Linked DNA regions of Zea mays. The protein of the gene in region 1 interacts with the protein of each later gene in a pairwise test. Links are inferred from orthologs where the notes say so. Each region holds a gene or a part of one and is shown in the gene's direction. Other genes may lie near its edges. The genes, in order: Transcriptional corepressor LEUNIG_HOMOLOG and Transcription factor bHLH128.

The links.
Region 2: the proteins of Transcriptional corepressor LEUNIG_HOMOLOG (region 1) and Transcription factor bHLH128 interact in binary tests that used the Arabidopsis thaliana proteins (3 or more experiments, as listed by UniProt). The link is inferred for Zea mays from reciprocal best matches to the Arabidopsis thaliana genes LUH and AT1G05805.

Annotation. Positions count from the first base shown.
Region 1 is NC_050100.1:223,735,128-223,751,447, reverse strand, and holds the start of Transcriptional corepressor LEUNIG_HOMOLOG, read left to right. Parts: upstream 1-6,952; 5' UTR 6,953-7,222; exon of another isoform or gene 7,223-7,227; intron 7,228-7,333; 5' UTR 7,334-7,343; coding exon 7,344-7,375; intron 7,376-7,468; coding exon 7,469-7,566; intron 7,567-12,866; coding exon 12,867-12,976; intron 12,977-13,061; coding exon 13,062-13,354; intron 13,355-13,474; coding exon 13,475-13,550; intron 13,551-13,651; coding exon 13,652-13,763; intron 13,764-14,610; coding exon 14,611-14,660; intron 14,661-14,748; coding exon 14,749-15,051; intron 15,052-15,152; coding exon 15,153-15,245; intron 15,246-16,236; coding exon 16,237-16,320. Other genes in the region: uncharacterized protein LOC100283457, read left to right, coding at 602-610, 711-808, 904-1,591. UniProt on the Arabidopsis thaliana protein: Transcription repressor subunit of the SEU-SLK1 and SEU-SLK2 transcriptional corepressor of abiotic stress (e.g. salt and osmotic stress) response genes, by means of an epigenetic process involving histone modification (e.g.
Region 2 is NC_050098.1:171,111,879-171,128,195, reverse strand, and holds Transcription factor bHLH128, read left to right. Parts: upstream 1-6,148; 5' UTR 6,149-6,350; coding exon 6,351-6,741; intron 6,742-7,733; coding exon 7,734-8,107; intron 8,108-8,243; coding exon 8,244-8,375; intron 8,376-8,531; coding exon 8,532-8,597; intron 8,598-8,725; exon of another isoform or gene 8,726-8,757; coding exon 8,758-8,826; intron 8,827-8,957; coding exon 8,958-9,014; 3' UTR 9,015-9,368; downstream 9,369-16,317. Other genes in the region: uncharacterized protein LOC100275661, read right to left, coding at 9,827-9,839, 9,978-10,145, 10,258-10,356, 10,586-10,626, 10,754-10,875, 11,432-11,468.

The DNA of each region.
Region 1 (16,320 bases):
GAGAAATTTGCTGTTTTGCCACTCTCAAATTTGGCTGCTTGTTATTATGTCATCCCGTGTCTATGACTGGTGGGACCATCTGTGTCTATGATTTGTGGGTCCGATGGCATAATGGCGAAGCCCACAAATGATAATGGCAAAATTGCCAATGGCTCCAAGCAACCTGCCCCGCCCCTGCCCGTCGCTATTCTGGCCACCCGATTCCTATCAGACGGCCACCAGCAACCCGCAGGGCGCAGGCCCTCCCAAACTCCTCGGCCTCGCGAGCTTCCTGGAAAGTGGATACCCAAACAGCGAAAGCGAAACGGACCCCCTTTCCTCCCTCCCCTTCCCTTCCCGTCCCCTACCCGCGCGTTCTAATTTGGACCAGACGGCTCCAGAAGCTTCCGCCATTGACCTAACCTAACAACCGTGTCGCTTTATTTATCGAACCAAGCCCAACCCCCTCGTCTGTCGTCTCGCCTCGTCTCCGCCCAGATCCACGCGTTTCGGAGTTCTAGCTGCGTTTATTGACCGCCCATTCTCTCCAAGGCATTTTTCCCCTCGTCCTCCCTGCGATTTCGCGACCTCCATCCAATCCCTCTGCACGGAGAATCGGCTAATGGCGGAGGTAAGCCCCCACCCCCACACAAGCTTTCAATTGCTCGACGATCCATGGAAGGATATAGAGATCTGACGCTGCGTTCGTTAATGGCGGGGCGGCACGGCAGGAGGGGTACAAGGTGACGCTGAACGTGTACGACCTCAGCAACGGCCTCGCGCGGCAGCTGTCCACCTCCTTCCTCGGCAAGCCCATTGAGGCCATCTGGTGAGTGATCCTGAGCCTGAGACCCTCCCCTCCTCCCGGATCTGAACCACCTCGCGCCAGCCATCGCCTAACCAAAACCAAATCGGACCTGGCAGGCACACGGGAGTGGTGGTGTACGGGAACGAGTACTACTTCGGCGGCGGGATCCAGTCGTCCCCCGCGGGGACGACGCCGTACGGGCGGCCGCTGCGGGTGGTGGAGCTGGGCGTCACGCACATCCCGCGGGAGGTGTTCGAGGACTACCTCCGCGACATCGCGCCCCGGTACACGGCCGAGACCTACCGCCTGCTCACCCACAACTGCAACAACTTCAGCCACGAGGTGGCGCAGTTCCTCGTCGGCACTGGCGCCGGCGTGCCCGACTACATCCTCAACCTCCCCGCCGAGGTCATGTCCAGCCCCATGGGCCCGCTCATCATGCCCATGATCCAGAACCTCGAGTCCACGCTCAGGAGCAACGTCGCTCCGCAGACCACGCAGTTCGTGCCCACGCCCGCCTCCGTCTCCGCGCCTACCGAGGCTCCCGCTTCCGAGCGAAAAGCGCCGGCGCCGGCGGAGAAGGCTTCGAAGGAAGCTCCTACTCCTGCGCCTGCGAAGAAGGAAGCCCCTACTCCTGCGGCTGACCCGCTCGGGAGCGCCAGGGGGAAGGTGCAGGAGGAGGTGATGAAGGAGTTCGCGGCCATCATGGCCAGCGGTACGCTACGGGCCAGCGAGGCGGCGGCGCTGGCCATGCGCCGGGTCATGGAGCGCCACGGCGACGGCGCCACGATGCAGCAGGGCTAGACGAATCAGGCTGTGAACGCGTTCCGGTTCCATGGGAATTGGAATTTGTCATCTGCATGCTGATGCCGCCGCCGTATGGAAAAAATTGGAGAAGTTATTCCTGATATGTTCGTGCGATTATTTGGGTTGGCATTAATTGCGGCCGCCGGACTTGTTGCCCACCGTATTACTCTATGGGCGGTTAATTTGGTGAGATATGCTAATTTACGTTCGCTACTTCGCTACTACATGTTTTAATCCGTCAGCTATGCATTGTTCCTGCTGCCAATCGCTTGTTTGATTGTTGCTACTCCCGCGAGCTAGAATCTAGGACGCTTTACCGTGCATACATGCGCCAGTTTGGTTCGCTCGGATGACTTTAATCCGAAACTAATAACCCAAATTAAACTCGTTTTCGTGCAGCGCTGCAACATCTATTAACACCAATGATCACCAAACCATTTTGTGTCAAACACTAATGATCACCAAACCATTTTGTGTCAAAAAAACGCTACCCACCAACACTTTAAACCTGCAAAACCGACAGGTTTATCCAAACCAAATCTGAACAAATTCAAAATGGGTTTTTGTTGTTGAACCGTCCATATAAACCGTTTATTGTTTTTACATAAAAAATCATAAGGTCATTTGTAATTTTCTCAATTCATGTTCCATAGTAAATACTAATTGATCTACATAACTTGTTCATCAAGATGATATACAACATATATATACAACCATAAACTTTAATTCTCATGAAACAAACAACCATTGAACTTTGTAATACTCAAATACAAGGTCATTTATTTTCTCTTCATCCTACCATTTGGAAAGTAGTAGAAAATGGAATGCATTTTGATAGTAATGATAATGCCATATTTATTAATGAGCAAATCCATAAAAATGCCAATGCTACCATTGTCCTTTTAGCATCTCTATGCAGGAATTAATACAATAAGGTTAATGATTTAGATAATGCCAAGCAAATATGGGACACCTTTAAAATCTCTCATAAGGGTCATGATGCCACAATGATCAACAAGATGGAGTTGGTGAAAGGCGAGCTGGGGAGGTTTGTCATGAAGGGGTATGAGGAGCCAACTGAAACGTACAACAGGCTCAAGACCTTGATGAACAAAATCTGAAGCAATGGAAGCACAAGATGGACGGATCATAACGTCGTGCGCCTCGTGTTAAGGTCATTTACCGTTACCGAGCCTCATCTTGTTAATCTTATTCGTGAAAACCCCAGGTATACCAAAATGTCGCCCAAATAAATTCTTGGTAAGTTTGTAAGCAGGCGCATGATGGTAAAAGAAACAAGGTACGTCGACGACATCGCTAATGAACATCTTCCTCACTACGAGCCGCAACTTGTTGCACTCAGAGCAACAACCCACAAGGAGGCGCTTACAAACAAGGTGACACAAGTTGAGGCAGTTGGACTTAATGAGGAGGAAATGACGCTTGTAATCAAGCGCTTCAAGACCGCATTGAAGGGACGCAAGGACTACCCCAACAAGAACAAATCAAGGGGAGAGCGTTCATGCTTCAAGTGCAGTAAGTCTGGTCATTTTGTTGCTCAATGTCCCTATAATGAGAATGACCAGGAACAAGACAAGAAAGGGAAGAAGGAGAAAAAGTTCTACAAAAAGAATGATGAGGCGCACATTGGCAAGAATTGAGACTCGAACTGCTCTTCATCCGACTCTGACAATGAAGGACTTGTTGCCTCTGTCTTTGACAAGTCCCCCCTCTTACCCAATGCACATCACACTTGCCTCATGGCAAAAGAGAAGAAGGTACGTACATGTGATACTCATAAGTATACTTAACAATCTTTTGAAGGGCTTGGATGAATCTAAGGTAGATAGATAAAATTAATGAATTAATTGATGCTCTTAATGAAAAGAATAGATTGCTAGAAAAGCAAGAGGATCTTCTTTATGAGGAACATGATGAAGTAATAGAAGTATAAAAATCTCTTGCTTTAGAAGTAAATAAGAATGAAATGCTTGCATTTGAATTGTATTCTTGCCATTCATCTATTACTAGACTTAAGAGTTTAAATATCGATTTAAATGCTAGAATAGAGAAATTAAGTGTTGCTAGTTCATCCGTGGAGCATGTTTCAATTTGTGCTAAATGTAAAGACCATGATTTTGATGCTTTTGTAGTAATCATGCCTCTACTATTGCAAAGTTGAATGATGAAATTGTTCAATTAAGGGCCTGTTCGTTTCACATGGAATGAAGGGGTGGAATAAATCTGGCTTGGATTCCTTCAATAATTACTATAATTTTGGAGATTTGGAATTAATCCTGGTCTGTTCCAGCAGAAACAAACGAGCCCTAAATGTTCAACTTAAAACTTGCAAAAATGAAGTAGAGAAAGTAAAATTTGGTAGGGATGCCTTCACCATTGGTAGACATCCATCCATTAAGATGGACTTAGTTTTCAAAAGGGAACCAAGAACACTAACAGCCAAAAGGCCCTCAACTTTACAAAGGAGAAGGAGAAGGCACATATGGCTAGTAGCTTGCATTCTTTTCATGAAAAGAAGAACCATGTTTTTTTTAATTCTCATGCTAAGAACATTTCTCATAATGCTCACTATACTTGTAATGGTAGTTTTAATTTTCCAATGTGTCATGATGGTATCTTTACTCCTCGCACTATGTTTGCTTCATCTAGTGATTCTAATAGAAGTAAAACTAGACGCCATGTTTGTCATGCGCATAAGGATAGGAATGCATCGCATGGACCTTCTATTCTATTCCATACTTTTGATGCATCCTATGTAATTCATTGCAAGAATGATAAAATTGTTGTTAAAAATGTGGGACCAAAATGTAAGAAAGGTAAGACTTGCATGGGTTCCAAAATCTTATGTAACTAACCTGATAGGACCCAACACAAGTTAGGGACCTAAATCCTAAGCCTAAATATCTTGTAGGTTTATGCATCTGAGAGCTCAAGCAAGATCATTGATAGCGGATGCACAAACCACACGACAGGGGAGAAGAACATGTTCACCTCCTACGTCAAGAATAAGGATTCTCATGACACGATCATCTTTGGAGATGAGAATCAAGACAAGGTAAAAGGTCTCCTGTAGCTAGGCTTGAGTCTATTCGTATACTATTAGCCTATACTGCTCATCATTCTTTTAAGCTCTACCAAATGGACGTGAAGAGTGCTTTCCTAAATGAGCCAATCAAGGAGGAGAGGTGTATGTGGAGCAACCCTTGGCTTCGAGGATGACAGATACCCTGACCATGTGTACAAGCTCTCTAAGGCGCTCTATGGACTTAAAGAGTAACTCTACTATAAAACTCTGGGTGGAGCAGGTCTGCTCTAGAGTTTATATTGCTTTCTTATAACCAGTAACAATGACGAGTTAACTCCAACTCTATGTATAGGTAATAGGTTGTTTTTGAAGATTTTGGAGGAACAAAAGAGGTACTCTAAAAATTTATATGACAACTCTTAGAACTCTATGGAGTTTACAACTCTGGATTTAATGAGTTTTGCTGGCTCTGGTTATCTTGTTTTGGAGTTTTGCTTTGTAGTCATGGCAAATAGTGCCATTGAGCTAAATTCTCTTCAGCTCTATTCGTGGTATAAAAAGGATTGAAATCCAATCTAACATAATCGTGTCTATGCTTAAATCAGTTAGCTAACTAATATCTTATAGTTGCTATTAACTACTTTAACTAATTAGTGAAATAGTAGTTGTTAGTTAAGCATTAGGCCCACTTTGTGTCCTTGCTAAAAAGTTTGCTAAAAAGTTTAGTACTATACTTTTTGATAAAATTTAGCTACTAGTAAAGAACAAACAAGACAACTAAAAGTGTTGTGCTAAAGTTTAGCATCTATTAATACCTTAGCTCCACCAAAGATACTAAAATATAATAAAAGTGGTCCCCATCTCTATTTCTCTCTGCTTTCTCTCCACCACCCAATACCTTGCTCTCTGTCTCCCCCAAACGATCATATGATCCTCTTGTACTGGTCCTCATTGTAAAGCTGACATTAATTAGCGATAATGTACTAAAATTTAGTACTTGTATTAAACAACTCTCAAATGCTAAAGTTTAGTAAAAACTTCAGTAGCTGCTAAACTTTAGCGGTACGAAAATAAACATGCCCAGCCGATATCGCGATGGCAAAGAATATGTAAAAAAGGAAGGAGAGCAGTGCTTGTAGAAACTCAAACGCGCAGCAGGAGAGGCAGCAGCAGATGAATGGGAATGGTTCGTTCCTCCGCCCGCCTTCTGTTTCCACTCAACCACCTCACGCGCGGCGCAGGCAGGAGGATCGCTCGCTGCCTGGCCGTACCGTATAAACACGCAGGCCCCAGAGCAGCAGCCTCGGGGTGGCCTCACCGCATCCTGTGCTTGTGGTCTCTGCTGTGGCCACGGCATACGGAGTACTACTAGGCTTTTAGTGTTTGCCAGGACACCTTTTTACTGTTTCGTTTCCATTTTTATATATTTTATATATAACGTTTTTCTTTTGACGTTGACAGAAAACCTGATAAACACATTCGATTGATCAGCTGCCATGAGCAGCGAAGCCAAACAACGCTGCGGTAGCAACAATCACGGCAAGGCAAGGATATTCTCTGAAAAAAGAAGTGCGTAAACACAACATACATCAAAGAAAAAGAAAAGACCGCAGGGACCTCACACAAAAACGTGCGAGACATGGTCACTGTGTGTGTGAGAGGTCACCCTCCTCCTCCCGCCTTTCACGAATCCCCTGGCGAACAGCGGGCGTCCCACGCCGCCAGCCGCTGCCGGCCAAGCCATCGCCTCGCTCCACGCGGTTGGCCAGGCCCCGTGCGCGGTGTTTGGCCCTGCGCACCAGCTGGGTCATGGTAATCCGGGCCTAATCAAGCACCTCCAATCCCCACGCCTCCGAGCCTACTCCTCTGCCTCCGAACCTCTCTCCCTCTCTCTCTCTTTCTGTACGTACGCCGAATCGCAGTTTGGCCCTTCCACGTTTGGAATATGACGAGCTAGCACAAATATCTCCATTCCTAACAATACTATTGCTACCATTATATTATTATATGAACATCAATCACATCATCAAGAAGATATATTTTCTTTTTCAAAAAGGAGGTTGTTGCATCAAAAATTTATTTAAAGGTCCTCGCAACCAGGGATATGAATTTCGAAATACTTGCTGTACGAGTAATTATTAGTCTAGTCGAGGATCTTTGTGCAAAACTGTCTGACGCCTGCCTGCCTGTCATCTGAACCTTCCTGAACCGGAGTACTGGCTCACCCTACCGAGCCGAGTCGACCCATGCCTCTTCTCCTTCACTCTCTGCTATGCTATGCTTACCCCGTTCTCTCTCTCCTCCCTTTCTTTCTCATCTACTACTACTAGACTACTAGTAACTCCGCTTCGCTTCTTCCGAAGCGGCGCGGGCGGAAGCGAGGGCAGCTCACACCACCGTGCCGCGCGCGCGCGCTCTCCACCCACCACCTAATTCCGCCGCCGAGCTCGCCGACGCGGCCACCCGCGATCGGGCATTTGGACCCGTCCCCGCTCGCCGCCCGCACGGCGGCTCGTTGCGGGAAAAGTTTCTCGAGGCCGTCTGTGACCCCGCTCCCTCGGCCGCGAGATCCCGCCCAGCCGGTAATGTGGGCTCTGATCCCTTGTTCCCCTTCGAGTTCGGCACCGAATCGCCTGCCCCCGGCCCTAATCTCTGCTGCTTTTGCCTCTTTTGTTCCGTTCCGCTTCGGCCAGCGGTCGCAGAATGGCGCAGAGCAACTGGGAAGCGGATAAGATGTGAGTGATTTCTGATGTGTTCTCCCCGCTTGTTCTTGTCAAATTTTTGCTCCCCTCGCTCGGTCCGGGTTGATTCCGTTTCTTGTGGTGCAGGCTCGACGTGTATATCTATGACTACCTGCTGAAGAGGAACCTGCAGACGACGGCCAAGGCTTTCATGACCGAGGGAAAGGTTGCTGCTGATCCAGTTGGTAATTGTTGCCTTCTCTTCTGTTGCTTCGCCCTTCCTCATTTGTTGCTGGGTTAGGTTTTGTTCGTGACGGTGCACAAGAGTTTAGCTGTTGGTTGCTGGCGATGAATTCGAATTTTGAACTAGATAGAGTGGGCTGTGTTTTCAGCTCTGATATGAGTTTTTAGTATGGAATACTCCATAGGTTTTTTTGTGTGTGTTTGTCTCAAGTAGGGCACATGGTTGGAATCTGAATTGATCTACAATTTGGGTTTTAGTAAACAGGAGTGCAGGTAATGGCAATTCAAATTGGTTTGGAGAGCTTTGTTAAAATTTGAGCGGAGAGGTTCTGAAACAATATTGTGGGCGTGAGAGTTCAAAGGAGCCTGTGAAGCTTTAGTAGAGATGGGTGCATAACTCTTCGCCGGAAATGGCGGGATGTTATTTTCATATCTAAGCAGATAATGCTCGTCGTTAGCTGCCGTTGTTGAGGGGACTGGCGGTGTGCCATTATGTTTTTGCATGCTAATACACATGAATTCGATGGAAGCGGGAAGTGATGCCTCCTGTGATGTTACTAAACTTTTGTCGTGTTGTCGAGAGGTGCTTTAGTGGAAATGTAATAAATTTAGAACTCCAAATGCAATAGTGCACTTCATATCTGCTACTATTCTCGTTCTTGCTTTCTTGTTTAAAGTACATTTATTTAGATAATAGCTTGCGTTAGTACATGTTAAGTGGGTGGTGTTATTGTATTGATGGGTTGCAGATTATGATTGCGTGCAGAGCTGAAGCTGCATGAGTATCACTCATATAGCAAACATGATCCATCTGTATAGCCCCTACTAACTATTAAGCTATCAGTGGCAATTTACCTAAATGCTGCTGCTATTTGCTAATGCTATTTAACTGAATAATCTCAACATGTTATGCTTTTCTCAAGTGCCAAAGCTTTGCCTGAATGTTCAAACTTGCTGGATTACTACTATTATTGTTTGTTCTTAATATGTTTTTCGGGAAAGCTACTGGGAGTCTTCGTACTAGGTATGAAACTGAACCTGATATGAATGGATATTACAGATATGGATGCAAATACATGTAGTTTCATTCTGGGATTTGGAGTTAGATATGGATATCGTTGAATATTGATGCCCATCCTACATATGAGAAATCTTACTTTGAGTATCAGATTCAGATACAGTACATATATTAAATGGCTGGATTCATATACGGATTATCCATTTAGTATTTGAACATGTTTTAGATGGATGGATACCAGGGAATGTCCATCCTGTTTTCATCCCTATATATAGGGATTTCAATTTACAACAAAATCATACATGCCAAAATTAGAAATTAACATTTGGTTTTCACGTGCTAATTTAACTATAGCAGCATAGTTGTTTTAATCTTTTACTAGCAAAATGCCCATGTGTTGCAACGGAGCATACACCCTGTTGCGTGGTCACATAATAACTTACATTTTGGAGATTTATGTAATGATTGTGTCATCTGTTCTAATACATATTAGAATCAGACGCTGCATTGTTGCCCCTCAGATATTTTGGAGACGGGCTCGCCGAGATCCTCGGCGAGCTTTTTGTAGCAGAGGCAATACTCGGCAACGGGAAGATCACCCTAGGAGAAAGAGCGGAACTCCTGGTCTACATAGAGGGCACGAGGCGTACGATTCTCGAGGAATTGAGATTCGATGGAGAGCCACAGAACACGGGTAGTGGTACCACGTTGAGACACCGTATCAACGAAGTTGTCGGAGATGGTGCCGAGGATCAAGGTGCGGACGACGGCGTTCATCCGCACCCAGTCTGGTGAGGCGACGTCGTCGGAGAGGACACGATGCTCCAGAGAAAACTTGGTGAGGGTGAGGAGGAAAGACTCACACCATCGGGCGCAAAAGTTGGAGTTGGTGTCGAGAAGAAGTGGTACGAGGGCGTGGATGATCTGCATGTCAACGGCTTGGGCGTGAAGATTGAGCAGAGTGGTGGCCTCGTGCTAGAGAAAAGTCGCATCCAGGAGAGAAGAGGTGGCACCGCCAAGAGGAGTGCCATCGCCGGAGTCATCGGTGGAGGTGGCGAGCTCATCCAGGAGGGGAGGGGCAGCAGCTGCACGTTCACGGGCCACACGAGCGCGAGAATCTGTGGCGTCCCGCTCTTGCTGTGCGAGAGCGGCTTCCTGGTCGGCATTGGCCACGCGAGCTAGTACGGCGATGCGAGCAGCCTGGGCGACACGCGCGTGATCCTCCTGGGCGATGCACAGGAGATCGGCAGCAGCGGTGTTCTGGGCGTCGGTGTTTTGGAGAAGCCCAGAGTCAACGGTGTCTGCATAGGAGACGGCGTGGAGAGGCGCGAGGGAACGCCAGCCATGAAGCATCGCCGATGATGAGGCGCGTTGGAGCGGAAGCGTGAAGAGGTGTAGAACCTAAACTCGTGATACCATGGAAGCAGAGAAGACTGGTAGGAATATTGGATTGTATTGAATAGGAGATGATACATGTACATATATAGGGGAGAGAGACTTGAGGCTAAAGGAAACCTCCTACGTCTAGAGGATCTGCAGGATATGGACAGATCCTGCAGGAATTCAATCATATCAATCTCCTATCAGAGACTACCATATTCTACACTACCATATACAGCAAGGCATTTGCCATATACAGAGATCTGTCTAACAGGTATAGATGTAACTGGGTGGCACACTTGTAGGGCAACTGCGAAACTCATTTCTGATAAAGAAAACTGCAGCTGTGTAGCAAAATTGGATCCCCATAACTTATATGCAAATGTGCACTAGAAACCACCGATCTGTGTATTGGATTTTGATTTGGGTAGATCCAGTGCCAGAGGCTTTTGCATGAGTCTGGGGAAGGGATAAACTGAGACAAGCCTTCCCCCGCAAATGCGGAGAGGCTGCTATGAACCCGCGGCCTGGTGACTCAGTGAGACAACTCTCACCACTGGCATGCTCTTCTTGAGATTTTGATTTGATAGGTAATAACTGATGCAGTGTAGTTATCATCTGAAGTGCGGATCTCATGTTCAGGGGCCACATGCATTGATCAACAAGCAATGCCAATATAATTTGGCATATTGTTCAGATGTATGGTAGGACTAGAATGTCAGCAAATAGGGTAGAGTCCAGTTTCGAAACTGTTATAAATATCCTTACAAAATGGTTATCGAAATAGTACCAATGTACCATTGCCACATCAGTCAAAGATAGACTTCTTGCTTACGAAAGACAGGATATTCGAAAAGGGTAACTGGTACAACTGCTGTTACATTAGAGGTTTAGAACCTTCATTCCTAGTATCTAAAAGATGCTATCTTGTAAAGATCTCAAACCGAGTAAGGAGCGAAGGACCGAGTATGAAACGATGATATATGTGATGGTCAGTTATGCTTTCAGGGAACATATCCTCCAGCCGATTGCAAATCAACATGCCAAACATTGTATCTCCTTCTATGCTGATGATGTTGTTTTGTTCATGCGGCCCTCTCATCAGGATATCTCAGCAATTATCAGCATTTTAGACATATTTGGTCATGCTACAGGGCTAAAAACGAACATCTCCAAAAGTTCTGTTACACCCATTCAATGTGGAGCGAATGAGCTGACCACCATTTCTGCCTTATTACCATGTGCTACAAAAATTTTTCCCTGCACTTACTTGGGGATTCCTCTATCAATCCGTAGGCTTGCTAACTCTGATCTCTTGCCACTTGTTGATAAAGTTGCTGATAAACTTCCAGGATGGAAAACCAATCTTCTCAGCTGGGCTGGTCGTCTTGTCATGGTTAAGACAGTGCTGTCTTCTGTCCCTATCTATCTTATGCTTGCATTAGAACTCCCTAAATGGGTTTTTAAGGCAATCGATAAGAGGAGACGAGGCTTTCTTTGGAAGGGGCAAGGTGACGCAAATGGAGGTAACTGCCTTGTGTCCTGGGAAGCTGTCCAGCGGCCTCTCAAGTATGGTGGTCTGGGTATTCTCAACTTGGAGATGTTTGGATGGGCCTTACGTGCCAGGTGGCTTTGGTTACAGAAGACTGACACGTCAAGGCCATGGGCTGGTCTCCCTATCCGAGTGCACCGTAATGCAAAGGCCCTCGTTGATGTGGCTATTACCTCAGTGGTAGGCAGTGGTGAATCTGTGAAGTTCTGGTCTGATAGTTGGCTCCTTGGTAAAACTGTGGTTGAACACTGTCCAACCCTGATCCAAATGATTTCTAGAAGGGCTTTAAAGCGAAGAACAGTAGCCGAGGGGCTCACAAATCGTCAATGGGTGTCAGATATTCGGGGAGGATTGTCTGTAACGGTCCTAGTGGAGTATCTGCAGCTATGGAACTTGGTTGATGGGGTAGTTCTGCAACCTGACATCGCAGACCAACACATCTGGCGCCTCTCTGCCCATGGTACTTATTGTAGCAAATCGGCCTATGATGCTCTCTTTGTTGGCTCTATCCCTTTTGGCCCTTGGCGACGTGTCTAGAAGACCTGGGCCCCCTTAAGATGCAAATTCTTTGTATGGTTGGCAATCAAAAACAGGGTTTGGACAACTGATAGACTGGCAAAAAGAGGTTTGCCCCATCCAGTTGCTTGCCCTCTGTATGATCAGGCCGAGGAAACCATCCAGCATATTCTTGTCTCCTGCGTGTTCGCTCGGCAAATATGGACGTCCATACTACACAATTTAGGCCTCCTAGCCATTGTACCTCAGCCTGGATGCACTCGTTTCTCAAATTGGTGGTGCCAAAGTATCAAGAAAGTGGAGAAGAGTCTAAGGAAAGGTCTTAATTCCTTGATCATTTTGGTCGCTTGGGTGATTTGGAAGCACCGTAATGCTTGTGTTTTTGAGGGGGTTGTGCCCTGCACCCAGCGAGTTCAGAGTGCTGTGATTGAGGAGGGCAGCGTTTGGTGTTTGGCTGGTGCATCAGCTCTGCAGGACCTCCTCCTCCTGCACCAGCTCCCTAGGGGACCCTAGCAATTTGCCTGTTGGTGGTCGTTTTGGTCGGGTTGTTGTGTGCGTGGCGCGTTGTGTTATTGTGAGGGGGGTCTCGGCCTAGGGGCCTCTGTATTAGGGGTTGACAAGTCCTGTCTCTCCTATGTTTTTTTCTTCTTAATATAATGATACACAACTCTCCTGCGTTTGTTAAAAAAAAGATATATGTGACGGATGCCTACCCATTCCAAGATCACATGCATTCATGTGATATTTTTGTAACTATTTCTCTCCATTAGTTTGTTTGCCCAGGAATCCATCATAAGTGTGACTATGTTATGCTTGACTTGTGAATTGTGATGCAGCAATTGATGCTCCTGGAGGGTTTCTGTTTGAGTGGTGGTCTGTCTTTTGGGATATATTCATCGCAAGGACAAATGAAAAGCATTCTGAAGTTGCAGCGGCATATCTAGAGGTAGCTTTGTGATTTCTTAATCTACAATGCACCTCTTGTTTTTCTTAATCTCACCGAGTGTGAATCTATGTTCTGTTGGAAATAGGCACAGCAAATAAAAGCAAGAGAGCACCAGCAGCAGATGCAGATGCAGCAATTGCAACTTATGCATCAAAGACATGCTCAACTTCAGCGAACTAACGCGAATCATCCTTCACTTAATGGTCCAATAAATGCTTTAAATTCTGAGGGCATTTTGGGGCCATCAACAGCTAGTGTCTTAGCTGCCAAGATGTATGAAGAGCGATTGAAGCACCCACATTCAATGGAGTCTGAGGGATCACAACTTATTGAAGCTAGTAGAATGGCTCTTCTCAAGTCAGCAACAAACCATGCAGGGTGCTCACCAACTCCCATTTTCTCTTACACACTTATATAAAAGGAAAAAGAAAGATAGTTAGAAACTTAGAACTGAAGCATTTGTGGTACTCACAGAACTTACTGTTTTTGTGCAATTAGGCAATTAGTTCCAGGGACTCCTGGAAATGTGTCTACAACTCTGCAGCAAATCCAGGCACGGAATCAGCAAACGATTGTAGGTTATTGGTTCCATCATGTGTCTATTCACTTCGCAATTTCTTACACTAGTTCACTGAACATATGCACTGATAACCTGAATGTTCTAAATTCTAACAGGATATTAAGAGTGAAGGTAACATGGGAGTACCCCAGAGATCTTTACCCATGGATCCATCATCTTTATACGGTCAAGGATTAATTCAACCTAAACCTGGATTGAGCGGTGCAGGTGGGCCCTTTCCCTCGTTTCTTGTGAGTTCCTCCTATGCTGCCAAACTAGCACTCACTATAAAGACATTACTTTAGAACACCAGTCATTTACCGCTGCAGCCTGCAGATACATACTCCCTCCAGTTGCAAATGATTAAACAAGTTGGTTATGAACATTGTCATGGTCCCCTAAATGTAGCCTGTGATAGTTTTATTCTAATATAATTAGAAAGTACAACAAAACTGTAATATTATGTAACTACTGTTGGAGTTAAATCTCACTCATCATTTGAAATGTTCAATCTCAATATATAAATTTTGTATTGATGGTAAAACTTTAGTCGCTTTGGATGCAAGCAACCCAACTTTTTTACAGTTCTAAAATAATCAGTTTTTTTTTTTTGCAAATTTATATTGTAAAGTTGGTTGCATCTCTCATTGAACTATAGTCCTAGTGTCCTGTCATTCTTGCACTGTAATAGGAATATAGGACCCTGATAAGTGTTTGGATCTCAGCAATCCACATGCCTGGCCTCTTGCTATCCTTGCTGCCGTTGATACATTGTTTCTTTGAGTGTTTTATCCCCTTTTCTGGCTTCTGTTAGGTTTTATCTCTAGCCCTGACTTCCTATGGAGCTGGGAGTAAGTCTTTGTTGTTGTTGTTGTATTAACTTTTGATGGATTAGATTGTGCCATACCAGTGCAATGTTCCAACAGATGGATATGTTGGCTATTAATGGGTAACTCACTACAATGGTTCTTTTGGTTAATCAGGGTGTTTATGATGTGAATCATTCATTTCAAGAATGTCATACATTTCACATTCTGCTGATTTCTAATTTTTAACAGCTCATATTTTTGAACAGGGCTGAACCAAGGTGTAAGCGGTTTACCACTGAAGGGCTGGCCATTAACTGTGAGCTATGAAAAAAATGTCATCTTATGTGCTCATATTTTCTTTTGGAACCTGACCACATATGAATATCCATGATACCATTTTACAGGGAATTGACCAGTTAAGGCCGAATTTGGGTGCTCAAATGCAGAAGCCATTTCTTTCAACACAGTCACAGTTCCAACTTATGTCCCCACAGCAGCAACAACAATACTTAGCACAGGCCCAAGCACAAGGGAACCTTGGAAACTCAACTAATTATGGGGATATTGATCCCCGCAGACTTACAGCATTGACCAGGGGTAGTTTGAATGGTAAAGATAGTCAGCCTGCAGGAACGGATGGTTGTATTAGTTCCCCTATGCAATCCAGTTCACCCAAAGTCAGACCAGACCAAGAGTATCTCATGAAGGTTGGGTTTGCTGTGTCCTTTTCTTGCTTAGAGTTCTTTTAAGGTTGTCCATTCTCTGGCTCTAGTTTGTTGGTATCTTACTATATCTGAAAACTATCCAGATGCAGCAGACATCTTCCCAGCAACCCCAGGAACAGCTTCAGCAGCAGCAGCAGAACCAACAGCAGCAACAGAGCCAACAACAAATGCAACAGGTACTGAAAGGATGCCAAACCTACCGTTTCCTGTTCTATTCTTGAACTGTGGGCTTTCCCCTGTTGATCTGAAACTTTAAATTTGCCCAACAACAGTGTGGCGTTATGCATCTATTGTTGCTCTTCTATCATCAAACTTAAGTTACTTAAATATAAAATATAGAGTGCACAATAGTACTGATATGTTATCTGATGAAGCCTGAAAAGAAAATTATTTGGTGAGTGGTGATGTGCGTCTTAGGAAGGGTTCTTATGAAGATGCTGAAATGACATGAGATAGTTCATGGAGGAAGCAATAGTTTTTTTGGAAAAAAATTTATGCCAAAAGGGAATGCTACATAGTGATGTGTAAAGAACAGTGCTGGTGGCATCAGATTCAATGGATTTTTTTTAAAAGTTTGGATGCTAAATTATTGCAATTATGCAAATCCTGCCAGTGATGATAAATCAATGACAATGGGGTTAGAGCCCTTGGATAATTAATGATATTTTTCCGTGATTACATATTCATGCATATATTCAGTGTATTCTAACATAGTACATTATGATAAAAGTTGGTGCGATCAGCTGGGGTGTTGTTTGGAATGCCCTGCCCCCTGTTTCTGCAGCTGCGATGATCTCCATGGATTTGAAAGTTAAAATTAGCTCACTGTTGTAGCTTTATATCCACATGTTATTTTCAATATTTCCTGCCTTTGCATAGATTTGGGGTATGTTTGTCCAAATAGGTTGACATAACTTGTCTTTTTTGCATATTGGAGACCAAATTTGAAATTACGATATGTAAATTTGCATACTGTAAACTTGTAATAAAGAATTTGTTTTCTTTAGTTGGTGCATGCTATATGGTCCTTGGCAACTAAAGCTGAATAGTAGGCTAATTACCCTTTTCTTTATTTCACTGCATAAGTTACTACAATTTTTTTTCCTAAGAACCGATGTGCTTGCCAACCTTATACCTCCTTGTTCTGTAATCATTTGTTATTTCCAGAACAATAGAAAAAGAAAGCAGCCTACTTCTTCAGGACCAGCAAATAGTACCGGTACAGGAAACACTGTGGGTCCTGCAAACTCC
Region 2 (16,317 bases), on another chromosome or scaffold:
TATGTTGGATATAGACAATTTTGTATCCAAGATACTCAAGATAGTTTACTTTGAATTGAAAAACTCTTTCAATTCATATCCTCTATCTCGAACTCTGTCGATAAGTAATGTATGTTTAAAATACGCTGCACATATTTACACTGAACATACCATACTTTGTGTATCCTTTCAGAAAGAAGGATTCACTAGGTCGAATGTACCATATTTGACCAGGATGCTCTAAGTCACAAAGACTTTCCAAGCATTGCAAATTTGTGATTGGTGATTATGTATTTGGAATCTTTCAAGACTCCACATATACCATAATCTAGTGACCACATATGCATATGTTGTCACTACATCTATCAACTGCACAGATAGATGATTTACTGCCCTTTGTATTGTATCGGAATTTTACTACTCACAGTAGAAGAGAATTTATAGCATTAAAATAATGCTTGGGTTTGCGTATAAACCCAGTTGCTACTAGCCATGCTTTCTCACCACCTCATTGTTTCCAAGTCCATGAAAACAAACTTGTATCCACAGTAAGATACCTTGAAGTGAAAATAAGTTAACACTTCTTTCCGGTGAGCAAGGCTATCTCTGCAACATTGTATCACTCAACAAGATCCAATTTGAGCATACTCGTGCTCTGCTATGGCCATAGACTTTTGGATCACTTGGAGCGCATATACAATTGCTGAGATGTATGTGTCAACACTTGTAGCTTTTAAATAACACAATTCTCCAGTTGACATGAAGTCATTTTCTTATGCACCCTTATGATTTCTCGTGAAATCCCAAAACGAGAATAAAGGGCTTCCGATAACCTAGCCTCATCAGTGCGCACTGAGCTAGGTTGTGAATGTCTTCCATTCACAGGATAATCAATATCCTTTAGGTGTCCACCAACACTAGGTTAGTTACCAACGAATAGATGGTCTGCATTTACTATCTCAGAAGGTCTTGCCTTCAGCTGCTTGCAAGCATCTTAATCCCAGTTTGTGTCCATACTTCTCCCCCTCTTATTTACAACTACGTTGCAATAGGGAGTTAAGTGGTTTTCCATGTAAACACTCTTTCTGGCACTTTCACATAGGATTAATTTGAGTGACACCTTTTAGTAAATGCACATGGCAGTCAATTTGCAACTTCTTGCAAATCATTCGAACCTAAAGGTTCAGTTTTAGTACGTGATCCTGAGCCTGAATGCTTACTGCATTCATTATAATTTCCTGGCATTCATTTTGGTACTCGAAATCTCCCCCTAATGCCTGGAAAAGCTCATGATTCAAGCAAGCGTACGGGCCGTAAATAGATTCTCATGAAGAGATTCTAAAACTTAATGATCGACGGAGAATAAATTCTCACATAGATCCCCAGCTTTCTGTGTGCCCATACATGTACGCTGCGGTGGTGAGATTGGGAAAACATACCCAATGTACGCATGGGAAATCTTTCATGGATTCCCACGTACTAAAAAATCGTAGGGGAACTTGTACATGTAGTACATGCAGTTAATCACAAGTCAGGAGCGTGCAAACTTCCTGACTCCAACCATAACTGGTTGGAAATGACAATTCATTACAGATGGTCATTAATGATCTGAAATTTTCGAATCTATCACAGATTCATCATATCCTTTATGGATATCATTCTGAATACCAAAACAAACAATCATCATTGTAAGCACATTTGGTAAATTCAGTAGTGTGGAGGCTAATGTGCTCAAGTTGAGACATTATTACTTAATGGTCATGTGTTGTCCGAAGAACACACTTCAGGTCATCATATAGATGCACCAAATAACCATATAAAGCCTTCAATGTCCATACCATCTATGTAATGGACCACACTCGTTCTTTTGAAACAATTCAAAGAACTTAACCAAATCAGATCAGATTTTAAGATAAGAGGGACTTAAAATCTCATTCCCAATGATACTCATCAAGTATCTATCTTATGGGAAAAACATGACCAATAGAATTGTTCATAACTTTTCATTTCATCCCAACAATGTGATGACCAATTCAATCTTACCCGCATGGTAAGTAACATCACATGAAAAGTTTAACAAATGCAACACATTGTACGAGAGGATGTATGTAGAATACAATCCATAAGAAATGTTTCCGAGAAACACATGCAATATCCATCACTATCACTTTATGTTTCCACATGATAGAAATTATATGGATATCTCTATAATATGGTAAGATAACAATTAGGATGTATCAACGCATCCTTGATACTTCCAATACCAAAAGGGGATATGATAATAACATATCATGATATCACGCGAAGCGATTGTCAAAATATTCTTTCCTCTTTCCAAAGGAATATGAGAATATTTTGTTTCCCCACTTATAGAGTTTGTGGCTCAATTCTCCACATTGCATGTTTCTTCCTCAATTGGAAGAATCCCCGTACAAGTTTGCACAACTCAAATCAATGAGTCATCAACTCCCTTGATGAGTTCGTTCAACTCTAATCGATGAGTTTGTTCAACTCAAATCACATGAGTGATCAACTCCAATTGATGAGTTTGTTTAACTCAAATTCATATGAGTTTTTACACTCAAATCACATGAGTGTGTTCAACTCACATCACATGAGTTGAACCTATCAATTATGAGATTATACCAAATCTCATGCATCATTTAAATAGTACTCAAAAGCAAATCATCTAACAAAGTGGTCTTCTCTTAGAAAAAGAAGTGTTGTTACATGATTAGTCCAAATCATGAATTACACAACTAACCACTGTTATCATGTCAGATGGAAGATTGAAGTACACTTCATATCTTAGCTTTCATGAGTAGTATGCATCTATTGGTATTTCATATACAAAATTAGATGCTTAGGCATACAACACTATACCACGTATAGTGTAATGACAAAAGAGTTTGTCATACTCATTGCCCTTCCCTTTTTAATGTTCTTATATATTTGCTTTCAAGCAAAAATATTTGAATACAAAGTGTTAGTCTACAACATAATGTAGACACATACTCATAAGTCCACAAGTCTTATGATTTTCTTTGCTATTCATTTTGGGCTTGCACATCAAGCCACAAAAGCACATTAGTTCTTTTCATAAGAACCATAAGAGAATGAGAGCATCACACTTCCTCCAAAGTGAAGAAGTGAATCCCCATATTATGCAAAAATGATCTTTACATCCAATGAACATATCCAATGAACATTGATGATAATTAAGCCCAGTAGGCGAGTTCATCAAACTCTATTAAATAATTATCCTCCAAATGGCTTAAACATTTTCTGATGTTATAATATGTCGCAAAATATATCATATCTTTATATGCTGGAGAACTCTAGGTATCACATAAAGTGTACCAAATGATTTTTGAAAATTGGTGTACACAACGTAGATAATCTCCATGTAATGAAACAATGGAGTAGATCTCTCAGTAGTGGGCAAAACTTTTGCTGCCTGAAAGCATGATCTCTGGGCTGATATATTCAAGGAACATACCACAGCCAATGCTTAGGACTCCACTACCCTGTGCTTGACCAAAGTTTTAAAAAAATGGTAATCACCATAAAGGTGAATAACCAACATCACATCTCCAACATATTTACTTGGAAGAACACATAGGTAATCATCATAGCCATATGATGTAGACCTCTTACTGATGGGCAAATAACATTTTGCTGTCTAAAAGCTTGGTCTCAGGGCAAATAAATTCCAAGAACTTATTGCAGCCAAAGCCTAGATCTCCATCATGTGTTGAACAATCCCAAGTTCAAGATATGTATCATATTTGCAAGAATTCATCATTTAATTAAGTAGAACTTAATTAAAAGAATTCTTGTAGCAGTCACCATGACTGCAGCGTCCAGCCTGGCTCCATGGCCCACGACGCCTACATGGTCCGTGATCTTTTTGGGTAGCACGTATAGGTAATCATCTCGAAAGATGTAGACCTCATAGTGATAGGCATTTCAAATGCAGCCTAAAGCACGTTCTCTGGGCTACTAAATTCTATAAAAAATTTAGCGCAGCCAGTGCTTAGGTCTCCATCACCCTATGTTTTCCCCCCCAAAATGCAACCTTATTTTGCATGAGGACCAGTGAGTTTCGACTTATTAATGTGCTATGTTTTCCATGCAAACGTAAGAGAATGCAAAAACAAAAGCAAGTCAAAATTGTGAATTATAAATGTAAATAGAAAATATAATTCACTAACAAGTCTGTAATTTCCATAATAAAAACAGACAAGTATGTACAATTATATATATCATCATCAGTCTAAATATGCAAATTTAGATGTACAAATAATGATACACTCAGTAATTTATACGAACACATAGTTCTTGTGACTGAAAAAATCAGAAATTTTAAATGATAAACATGCCATTTAGGCCAATCTGGTGATGTGGGGGCGGCCCGGACGCCACCAGGCCGAGGCGGCCCACGCGGCCAGCCTCAAGGCCAGGGCGGCCCAAGCGCCCATTAAAAACGGGGGGCGGTTAGGGTGTCTGAAACCCTAGCCGCCCCATTCCCAGCCGCCGCCAGGGAGTATGGCCACCGGCGCGCGATTCGAGCCGCGCGTCAGTGAGTTCGCGCGCGCTGAGCGCCAAGCCCGAGCCTCGCTCACTCCGTGGCGGGTGGAGCAACGCCCGTGATGGGGTCGAGGGCGGCGTCCGTGACCGAGCAATGGTTGACCGGCATCGACGCCATCGCCGGCCGCGCCCGCACCTGCCCGGGATCCAGGGAGCGCCCGCGCCGCGGCGGTGCTCGCGGCCGAGCCAAGGCTCACGCCGGGGCCGCGCCCGCGCCGGGGAGCCATCAGGAGAGCGAGGCCTCCCATGCCTTGCCCGCACAGGAGGCGGGTTGAGTCGCGCTGCCCTGGGCCACCGCGGCCATACGCCAGCGAGCCGGAGTCCTTGCCCGCACTAGAGAGATGCGTCCGCGACCGTCGTGGCCGCGACGCACCCGCGGGGTCCATCCGCCAGGACAGCCGCTGGCTCGGTCCGCGCCGCTAAACACCATGGGCGTGGTGTGCCTCAGCGCGCTGGCCATGCCGGGTGGATCCGCCCGCCAGTCCTCACGCCAGCGAGACGGCCGTCGCCGTTCTTCGCGCCAAGCAAGCAGCCACCAGGGGCTCCTGCCCGCGCCTGCGCCCGCTGTTGGGGCCGGAGTGCGCCCGCGCCCGCTGCCGGGGCCGGTGCGCCATGGTCCGGTTGGCCTATGCGCGCGCGCGTGCCTGCGCATGCCAAGCCATGGTCGGGCCTCGTCGGGCGCTCTGAAGCCGTTGATGCCATGCTTGGCCGATGGTCGTCACAAAGTTCTTCACGCAAACGACGAATGCAAAGATGAACAGTAGGATCAATACCTTCCTGTTGTTCTAGAGGCAGAGCCCTCCAATTTTCTTCAACAGCGAGTGATGCCTTCCGATTCTTTCTCTCTAACAGAAAATTCTTTTTTCTCTCACGAGCAGTGTTGATAACGTGTTAGAACTCAGTGGTAACGAGATTGAAAGAGATAAATGATAGAACTGTTGTGTGTATTCCATAGATCATTACACTTATATACAAGTGAAGGGGTGTATCCCAAGAGGTATGTCCCTTGAGAAAAACTGTCGCACCCCTTAGATTGATCATATATGTAATATTTTGTAACAAGATTTTTAATAGAGCAGTATAATAACTAAGTGTGATACTAGTAGAAAATATAAAGCCGCAAGTATACTAGTGTCCTGAATAATATCTGATCCTGATGCAGCGTCAGCAGCCAGCAAGGCATCCGATCTGATCCCATCCCCACCGAACAGTATCCGTCTCGCGAGGGCAAAGGGTCAGGGAGAAAGTGAAAGAGACAGTCACAGGAACGGGCCTTCGACCCAGGCCCGGAAAAGCCCAACAGAGAGCTAAGAGCAGAGTAGCAGTCCGGTCAGCTTCGCGATTGTGAACGCACGCACACGCTGCAAGCATGTCGGCTGGCCTGGCACGCACATGACCGTCTCCTGCGGCTGACTTGGCGCCCAGGTCTCGGTCCACCTGTAACCCCCGCCGCATCTTCCGTCTTCCCTGTGTTGTCCATCTCGGGTGGGCCCCACGCCCGAAACCGGTGCGTGCACCCGCCCATCCACGAACGACCATGAGACCTCTGATCCATCCCCCCTGGCCCTGCCCCCCGGACGCCGCGCTCAAAAGCAGCAGCGCACGCACCACCACCACCACCGCACCACCATCCGCCTCGCTCGCACTGACAGACAGGCAGGCAGAGAGAGAGAGAGAGCGCGAGCCGGATTGATTGCCGAGGGCAGAGCAGCGGCAGAGGGAGCAGCAACAGCAACAGTCCACGACCGATCGCCCGGCCCGCGCGCAGGCAGGCAGCAGCCATGAACCACCTGACGCCGGCGCTCCACGGGGCGATGCGGCCGCCCTCGGCGCAGGGGCAGGGGCTGGCCCGGTACGGCTCCGCGCCGGGCTCGCTCCTGGCCGCCATCGCCGACTCCGTCACCCGCGGCGACCCCGCGCCGCCGCCGCCGCCCGTGAGCCGGTTCTACTCCGCCGAGTCCTCGGGGCTCACCTCCTGCGACTCCAGCTGCCGCACCGACTGCGGACGCCCGCCCCTCGAGCGGGCGTACGGCGGCTCCGGCGAGATCCGCGTGCCGCCGCCGCTGCAGCAGCAGCAGCACCACCTGCTGGCTCCCCCCGCGGCCTCCCCGCTGTTCCGCCACAGCAGCTCCCCCGCCGGGCTGCTCTCCCGCCTCATGACCGACCCGCACGGTGCGTATGCTCTCTCTCTCTCTCCCTTGCGTAAGCGTAACTCCATCCAGCTTGCGCTTGCTGGGGTACGTGTCTCGGTCGTCGTTTTCCGGCTTTGCCGTGATTAGGGAGGCAGGCTAGGAGCACGTTGAATTCGAACCCAAGGTAGGAGTAACAGTAACAGTAACTAAACTGCTAGAGTAAATGGCGGTAGCTGTAATCACTGCGCTTTCGGCTTCAGCTAAGCTAGAATAATACTAGAGTAAATTAGCATAACGTTGGTCTCGCTGATTTGGTTGGTTGGCATGTGCCCGGCGGCCGTTGTATAGAATAATACTCCTCTCCAGCTCCAGCTCCAGCTCCAGCTCCGAACGAGACGCGAAGTCGATCACCCACCCACCGGCGCACATGTCCAGCGTTCTCGGCTCTCATTAACAATGCTTCCCTAGCTCCCTTGGTAGTGAATCCGTGCCGCAACATCGTTCGTCGCACAGTAGTACGCAAGCGCAGTGCAAATGCAACGCACCTTGCCGAAGAATCCTATCGCGACCACAGTATGAAATTAACGTAAACAAATACACGCGGATTGGTCCCGTCCCCTCCATTGTCTGCTCTTTCGGTTTTCGGAAAGGCGGCCTATATGCTGCCGACCTAGGTGACGTGAGGGCGACCGTTCCTGGCCGTCCCGCTGCGAATCCGGCTGTAGCTACGGCGAACCTGCTGGGGGCTGGGCAGCGCTTGTCAGCAGCACTCACCAGCCGTTCATCCAACTACTTTCTAGCTAGAACGCGATAAAGAAGAAAAATCATCGATGGTACAATGTTCTTGTTTTTCTTAAAATGAAAAAAAGGAAGAAAGCGTGAAAAAAAGGAACGATACTACTAAAATAAATATACCAAAAGAATGCCTTTTACCTCAAGCTCGACGAACAGTCGCTGACATGCGGGCACGGGTCAGCTATAGTCTACCTGTTTGACGTGTGTTCGACGATCTTCCGGATGCGCCCACTGCAGGAATGGCGGCGAGCGGAGGAGCGATGGGGAGCTACACGCAGGCGGGCAGCGACGCCGCGCTGGGCCCCGGCCACGGCCACGGCCACGCGCAGCTCAGCTCGCAGTGGAGCTTCTCCAGGCAGGACCTGCCGCAGATCTCGGAGATGGGGATGATACCGGCCGACATCGGGGAGAGCATCGTGGGCGCCGGCGGGTGCAACAGCTCCAGCGACGCCGCGCAGTCCTCCTCCTACCTCTCCAGGACCTTCTCCGTCGGCTCCTGGGACGACACCAACTCCATCATGTTCTCGTCTGCCCCCTGCAAGAAGCCCAAGGTGGACCCCGCCGCCGGCGCCGACGACATGGTCACCAACTTCAGCACCATTGACCCGCAGGTCAGCGCGCGCCGCTTTCCGTGCCTAGCTCTGGCCTTACTTTGCCGCTCCCCGGCGTCATGCATCATCGACGGCGTGGTTCCATGCTGACGGGAGTGAGCTGTTTTTTTTTTGGCCTTGCTGTATGTATGTCCAGTTCGGCCTGTCCAACTCGTCCCTGGAGCTGCCCGGCATGGACGACTACCTGCAGCTGCAGCAGGACTCCGTCGCCTGCAGAGTGCGTGCGAGGCGTGGCTGCGCGACTCACCCACGGAGCATTGCCGAGAGGGTCAGTTCATCTACTCGATCCTTCGGTCCTTCCCAAACGATTCGCTAAAAAAAAGCACGGCGCAATATATGGTGCCACACTCTGCCAGCTTTGATGCTAGCTGGATGTCAGCACAGAAACCAATTTCGTTTTCCTTGTTCGCTGGCGTACGTTCAGGAAAGAAGGACGAGGATCAGCAAGAGGCTGAAGAAGCTGCAAGACCTCGTGCCCAACATGGACAAGGTAAGCTGAGCTTAAGATCTGCAATGAGCCATAGCCATTCATTATCGTCATCCGTAGATTTTTCCCGTGCGGGATTGCTGAACAACCTGTTCTCGTTGTTGTTCGTTGCCATCGCCCATTTTCGTCAGCGTGTTTATTGGTGTTTCTCGTGAACACGCAGCAAACGAATACGTCGGACATGTTGGACCTTGCTGTGGAGTACATCAAAGAGCTCAAGGACCAAGTTGAGGTACGTACGTATCGCTTGGTGTGCAAACAAAAAATATATATATATTTGTGACTTGAGTCTTTATCTCGACATGCCTACAAACAAAAATACACTATCTCTTACCATGCCTAAAAAAACATGGATCCTTGCAGAAGCTAAAACACGACCAAGCAAACTGCTGTTGCCTAGGCAACAAGAGCTGCTGCTGATGCTGGAGAAGCAGACGGAGGAGGGTTTTTACGCCGTAACAATGTGACTGTTAAACCAGAGCTGTTGCTTCAGGAGACCAGGCCGCGGGCAGAAGTGCGTGACATGTGGAGCGGCTTCCATGACTCAGCTTCCTCTTTTCTTGGTTGTTCCACGGACTAGCGACCGGGGTGCCAACGGCTTGAAGACTAGGAGATAACAAGTAGGACGATGTTGTAATTTAGTTACCGCGACGCGGTGGCTCTGGCTTTCGTGTAAAGAAGTCCTCCCTTTCAACGCGACTGGGATTGTTGTTGCTGGTAAAATTGTTGTAGGAATATCATCTGTGCTCCATTTTTCATCGAGCTCATCTTTTTTTTTGTGTGTCACTGGATTTTGACAAGACCGTAACTCAGAAACCGAGCACTGACCGAGCGTTCATGCCACCCCATACGAAGTCCAAGAGAATTTTAGTATGACAACTTGAGCATTATTCAGCTTTTTTTTTTCTATGCAGCATTCTTGTTGAGCAAAAACGATCGAAGAAACTTTACACGGTCGGTCACTCGATGCTGGGCATGGTACCAGGTAGTAGCTCAACTGATTTTCTGACTCGGGTGACGAGTTTTTTTTGTGTGTGTGTGTGTGTTTATTTATACATCAAACGTTGAAGAACAGAAAAGGCTGGTACAGTCAAAGCCGCCAGGCATAGTTTCGTATTGGCTATACGGCTGTGTGGAACTGGAGTAAAAAAATAGCGTCGTCAAATCTTGAGCTGCTCGCAGTTACGCAGCTGTCCTGTAGAAGAAGCTTAGGCAGCGCAGCCCCCGGTGACCTACACACCTCGCCTGCAGATTCCACAGGGCCAGGGGAGGGGGGTGTGTTACTGGTTCCGAGCTAGATGAGAGCACTGAAGCCAAAAGAGCAATCTAGTAGTGCAAAAAAGCCTGCCTATTGTCGGATTCTGTTCAGTGCAGAATACTTACAGTCTCGATGATTGTGTTCTTACGAGAGATGGCTGGAGTGCGTCGTAGTGCCCGTAGCCGTCGTAGAGAACGCGGACTGGATCGTCCTTTCCGTATTCCTGGCCGTATTCCGCTATGATCCTTGGGCCGTCGGAGCTGCCCGTATACATGTAGACGGTGATGGGCATCCTGCAACGCAGCGTTTTCTCAGTCTCAGTCCTCGCTGACCAAAGTGACCATAACGATGTGTACAAAAGAAAAGGGTTACACTTAGCACGGACAGGTTGGCCACCATACCGACCTGAGAACGTGGGAACACATGAACAGCTCAGGTTCCCCTCCCCAAGCATGAGGCTTTCTCATCTGTCTCACATAACTCTCAAAGCTGCCTTCAAGGAACCTAAGATTGGAAAGGAGTTAATAAGACATAGTCGTCTTTGTATATTGGGAGCTGGAGCATGTTCTTTTGACATTAGATCTTTATTAAGGATGGAAGGACATCTATCAACAAATTAAATGTGTAAAGTTGCTGTATGGGAATATATAGTCTGTATGCAGAAACAGATAGTACGTCCATGGAAACTAATAATACATATATCATAAAAGCAGTAATGGAAAGAGGATGGAACCATTCGGTGTCTCCTCTTCGCTTGACGAACTCATCAGCTACCTGGAACAGATCAACGGCAGGTTATTAGCACCAACAAAGACGGTGAGATTATTCCATTCTGTCGAGATGCACGGAACAAGGACGCGCTTAGTAATAATCAAGAAGCCCAGGTGTAACGGACACTCACTTTGGCTCGGAGCTCGTCGGCCAGTTCCTTCTGGGCGCTGTCGCTGGGCGCATGCTTTCCTCTCCTCAGGCAGGCGCCGTAGGCGACGGACCTGAACAGGCATCGACCGTCCCCTGTGATTCCTGCAGTTAAACGTGAGGGGCGGCGTCAGTGAAATTGATAACGCGTGTTCTGTCGACCAGAAAGAACCTCTCGATGATGAACACCTCCATGGGAGCCATCAGATGTATGGCGTTGCCCGCACATAAAGAAAACATGCAGTGTTGCTTTCGGCTTATAAGATTGGTAGCGTGGATTGTTAGGAGGAGATTATATTATCTGGTTTCTGATTTTAGCAAAGGATCTCTGAAGGTGCAGCTTTAGAACTGCTACCATAGTACCATTATATACAGACATGCATACGAAAGCAGAAGGATGTGGTGGAATTAGAAAAGGCATCTTGCTGCTACGCCATTGGTAGCTTATCATTGTTACGGTGTCTTTTTGTATGATGCAGGCACTTTTATTCCCGATCGCGTCCAAGACCAAACCATCTCTGATAAACAAGCCAGGAACCGCTACTAGAAGGAGCAAGGAATCACCCTGCCTGCCTTTCGATCGCCGATCGCCACCAGAAGAAAATTAAAAGAAGCCCATCTTTTTTACCGCTGCTAGAAACGGACGGCGTTTGGAACGTACTGATGGAGCGCAGGGGGCGGAGCTCCCGATCCGACATCCGCCGGTGCAGGGCGCCGGTGGCGACCGTCGTCTCCTCCTGCCCCTGCCGCTGCCGGGGGTGGAAGCAGGAGGGCGCAGCGAGCACGGAAGGAGGAGCTGCAAAATGGGATGGGATGGAATGGAATGTAAAACAAAGCGGGGCAGGGCAGGGCAGGGCAGAGGGGAGGGGAGGACGTGAGGCTGGAATTGGAATTGGAATTGGATTCCCTCGCGGCCGCTTGCACGCCTTTTCCGCGGCCTCTTTCGCTCTTCCGAACTTTTTTCTACCGCTCGCTCGGTTGAGTGGAGACAGTGGAGGTGGAGCCGTGGAGGCCTCGCCTTGCCTTCGGTCCATCGGAGCCGTTGTCTATCGTTCTAGCAGGCTTGCTTTCCCGCCACAAATAATTGCTGGCCCGTGGGTTTCAAATTAACCTCGTGGTCATGGGTGGACGGAGATTAAAGCAGCAGGAGGGCAGTTGATCCACTGACCTGTGCAAACTGTAGAGGTAAGGCCATGCATACCGAAGGAGAATACAAATGGTTTGATCAAATTTCTATTTTTTTGTTATTATCTTGCTAAAAATATCTAGAGAATTATTTACTTTACTCTACTAATAGAGAGACCGGCACTCCGGCAGTGTTAATCATATAATTGTGAAAGAACAATATATAGGGAAAAAACTCCTGTAGTGGCGGTAATGTTTTAATTTATTTGACTTTATCGCAATTATGTGGTCTTTACTTTTAAACCAATTCCATACAGCTTATTTTTAGGGGACCTACTGGTTCCATTCTAGACTTAACAAATAAGACAGAACTATAATCATAATATCTAGTTAGGTTACCCTACCCGCATACAGTAAACAAAACTCTGTAGCGGGGTACCTTACCAACAACGGTAAATATTGGAAGGGCATGGGCAACTCCATTTCCAGCGTACACACTGTAATACTCAAAATGGTGTACAAGAAATACATAGAGGAACTCCTTATTTTATGTGCCATATTTGCATCATAAAAAGAGCACACATATAATTGAGAGTGATTAATTAAAACAATGATACTAAAATTAAAATATATATATATATATATACATCATGTTGAGTTTTATGTGTGTGCATTTGTTAGTAATAAGATATTTTTTATACATTGATGTCCAAAATAAAATTTAGACTTAAGAGTTAAATTTTAGAATTGGAGAAAGAAAAGAAAATATATACAAAATAAATATTATGAATAGGGTAATAATAGTATGTCAAAATTATACTCTTAATCCAAGGAAGAATTAACACATGGTTGAATTTGAATTTGAATTCAAATAAAAAGGAAAAACAAATCAGGAAAAGAAATAAAAAGGTGAAAACACTGCTTGGGCCAGCTCAACTTCATTTCGGCCCAAACGCCTTCAACCACGCGGCCCATCCAGCCCACCTCCCTTCCTGTTGTTGCGCCTGCACGTTTGGGCACTCTCACTGACCGTTGGGACCCACGGGTCAGTCCCACACCCCCTTTCTTGGGCGCGCGCGGTGACCCTGTCGAGTGGGCCAGGCCATCACGGACTCCTTCTTCCCCGCTGCGAACGCCGCACATCACCGCGCGGACTCCGTATTCCCCCGCGCAACGCCCGTCCCGTGCATGTCGCGTGGGCGGCCGCGAGCTTCGGGGCTGTTTAGCCGCCGCCATGCCTACAAGTATCGGGTCACGACCACCCCTTCCCTGTCCATCATCACAAAGCACCGGGCAGGCCCTGAGCACACCTCGCCGTGAGACAGAGAGTGGGTGCGGGTGGGGGAAAGTTCCGCCACCGTGGAACTCGCGCACGGTACAGCTCGGGATTCAACCAGTGGGTCTAGGGGCTTCGAATAGACGCGTGGATGGCATGGTTACGCTTCGGGCGGGCTTGACGGCGGGGTCGTCGGTGAATTGCTCGCCGTTGCTGTCGCACCACCGTGAATCCGCCCCTCGCCGTGGCCAGCGTCGTCTCGGCAGCCGTCTTCGGTGAGTGCCCTTTCCTTGCGTCCGCCATACCTAGAATTGCATGACGCGCGTTTTAGATTTGAAGCTGGGGCCCTCCTGGACGGGATGGCCAAAGTCCGGCCATCTCTCCGTCGTTTGGGCCAACGGCGCCGCCGCGTCAGTAGCTAGCTTGGGGAGGCAAGCTCCGGACCGTTAGATGTTTCTCGGACGACCGTGATTAGATGGAGGGACAAACTAGAGTGAACCGTGGATTCGCTGTTGTGCGGTCCGGATTTAATTGGGGATGTAACGTCGCGCGGATCTGTGGTGGCCCTTGGATCACGATCGGGCGGATCCGGCAGGGCCTCGGCTACTTAAAATCTGGATCGTCAGTCTCTGATCCGAGGGACGCCATCGCATAACGTTTCATAATAGATAAGTTCTAATCGTAGCCGTCCGTTGTTGATCTGGCGGCCAGTGCTCTCCGATACCCCTTCGGCCTGCACCTTTTGCTAAAGAGACCCTAGGGTTAAAGGATATCAACCCGCCGTCCAGAGAGTGGAGTGCTGTGCCTGGGAAATTTTATGCGAGCAGCCCCTGAGTTTTCTGGTTATTGAGGCCCCGTCCAGAATAGTTTTAACCCGAGAATTTAAATTTCAAATTGATTTTCAATGTATAAATAATGTCTAGAACTTCAATAATTCATAGAAAATGCATATGAACTCCAAATTACTTCATTCCAGTTCCTAAAATTTTGTAATAATGTTGTTTATTACATAGCACCTCTGTTTTAACATGAAGATGGTATTAAAATTTATTTCTTAACTAATCTCGTATCAAATACATAAAACCTTAGGAAATTCGTATCTCATTCGTTTTAAATCCGATTTGACTCATTCCAGTTGCGTTAGTATCGTAGCAACGCGTAGATTATTATTACTCAGTTTATTCTTATGTTTGTTGTGATGTTAATTTTGCCCATACACTGTTTGTTTGTATTGCTACGAATAGCAGTGAGGTCACGTGTCACCTGAAGATCATCCCGGTACCTGGAATCTCAAGTCCCAGGCAAGTTGTGCCCTTGATCACTTCTTTTACCTACTCATGTTCTGATTAATCATAATGATCTGCATAGGTTAATTTTGATGGGACCCAATAGGTCACCCTAGTTTGTTCGTCCTGAATACCTTGTTTACCCCTGAATCACTTGGGTAGTTCTGCTACTGCTTTATATGGTTTTGGGTTAATATTTCATTACATCTATGTTCCAATTATGTTGTTATTCTATTTATGTTCATGACAAGATCATTAAATGTTAATTGGAACATAGAGCTTAACTTGAGAACCACGTGCCACCACAAGGGTTTAATGGGACGCCCTTGGCTGACTAATTAGGAAAGCTAGTGGAGGACTACCTTACCCGAAAGGGGCAAGGGCAGTAGGGGAGTGGTCAGTGTAGGGAGGCCCTCGGGAGGATTTTGCTGTGATGGCGGTCCTGCAAGGGATTCCTGGGAAGGCCCTCGGGAGGATTTTGCTGTGATGGCGGTCCTGCAAGGGATTCCTGGGAAGACCCTCGGGAGGATTTTGCTGTGATGGCGGTCCTACAAGGGATTCCTGCATTGGAGCTTCCTATAAACTGTAGCGGGTTTTCTGAAGCTAGTGGAACTTTGTAAAGGCCTCGTAGTGTTACCCTGCCTCGCCTCCTCGGTAGAGGTGTATGGGAAGTCGCGATCTCTTGGCAGATGGGTAACATGACTTGTGGGTAAAGGGTACCACCTCTGCAGAGTGTAAAACTGGTATACTAGCCGAGCTCACGGTCATGAGCAGCTCAGGACTCTCTGATGATTAATTTATGGAACTTAAATTCAATTTGTCATATGCATTGCATCGCAGGTGATGTTGTTACTTCTGTTCTACTATTTAATTGGGTTGGTATTTACTTATACTTAGTAATTGCTAATAAAATTTTGACCAACTTTAAAAGCAATGCTCAGCTCTAACCATCCTCTTTGGTAAGCCTTACACTTCACGTGAGCTCCCACCTTTGGCGAGTTCATGCACATTATTCCCCACAACTTGCTGAGCGATGAACGTATGTGAGCTCACTCTTGCTGTCTCACACCCCCCACAGGTCAAGAACAGGTACCGCAGGATGAGGCGCATGGAGGATGCTGTGACGAGTTCGTGAGAGGTCTAGGCCGTCGTCTCCCAGTCAACTTTGGGTTGCTGGACCGTTGTCTCCTTATAATGTAATTATTTATTTATTTTGTATAGAACTCCTGTTATGTAGTAAAGATGTGACATTCGATCCTGTGCCATTATTCATCATATGTGTGAGACTTGGTCCCAGCACACCTGGTGATTATGTTCGCGCCCGGGTCTTGGTGCCCCGAAATCCGGGTGTGACAGAAGTGGTATCAGAGGAATGTTGACTGTAGGACGAAACCTAGATAGAAATGGACAAAACTATTACCTACTTACCTTACTCTGATTCTTTTCTAAACTCTTCTTAATCTTTTCTCATCTATTTCTGCTTTACTCTGATTATTCTTATCTTTTTCTTCTAAAGACAAATGTGGATTTCACCCTTTGAAATCTTGTGCCTAAATTGACTTTTAGGAATAGGAAACCTAATCTTAGGAACAAAAACAAAACTATTTTTATCTATGCACTTGAATGTTTGTTCTTATGATATTTGTCTGATTTGGATCTTTGATTGAGTGTGATGAGTTGTGGAGTAATGTCCACAATTACATCTGCATATACATATAGGCATAAATATAAATAAATAAAATTCATAAGATAACTAATCAACTTAGAATATCCTCCATTAAAATATATCTAGCTTAATAGATCCATCTTATCTTAAAAGATACCCTATTACCTTAGTAGACTCATCTTATCTTGAAAAGA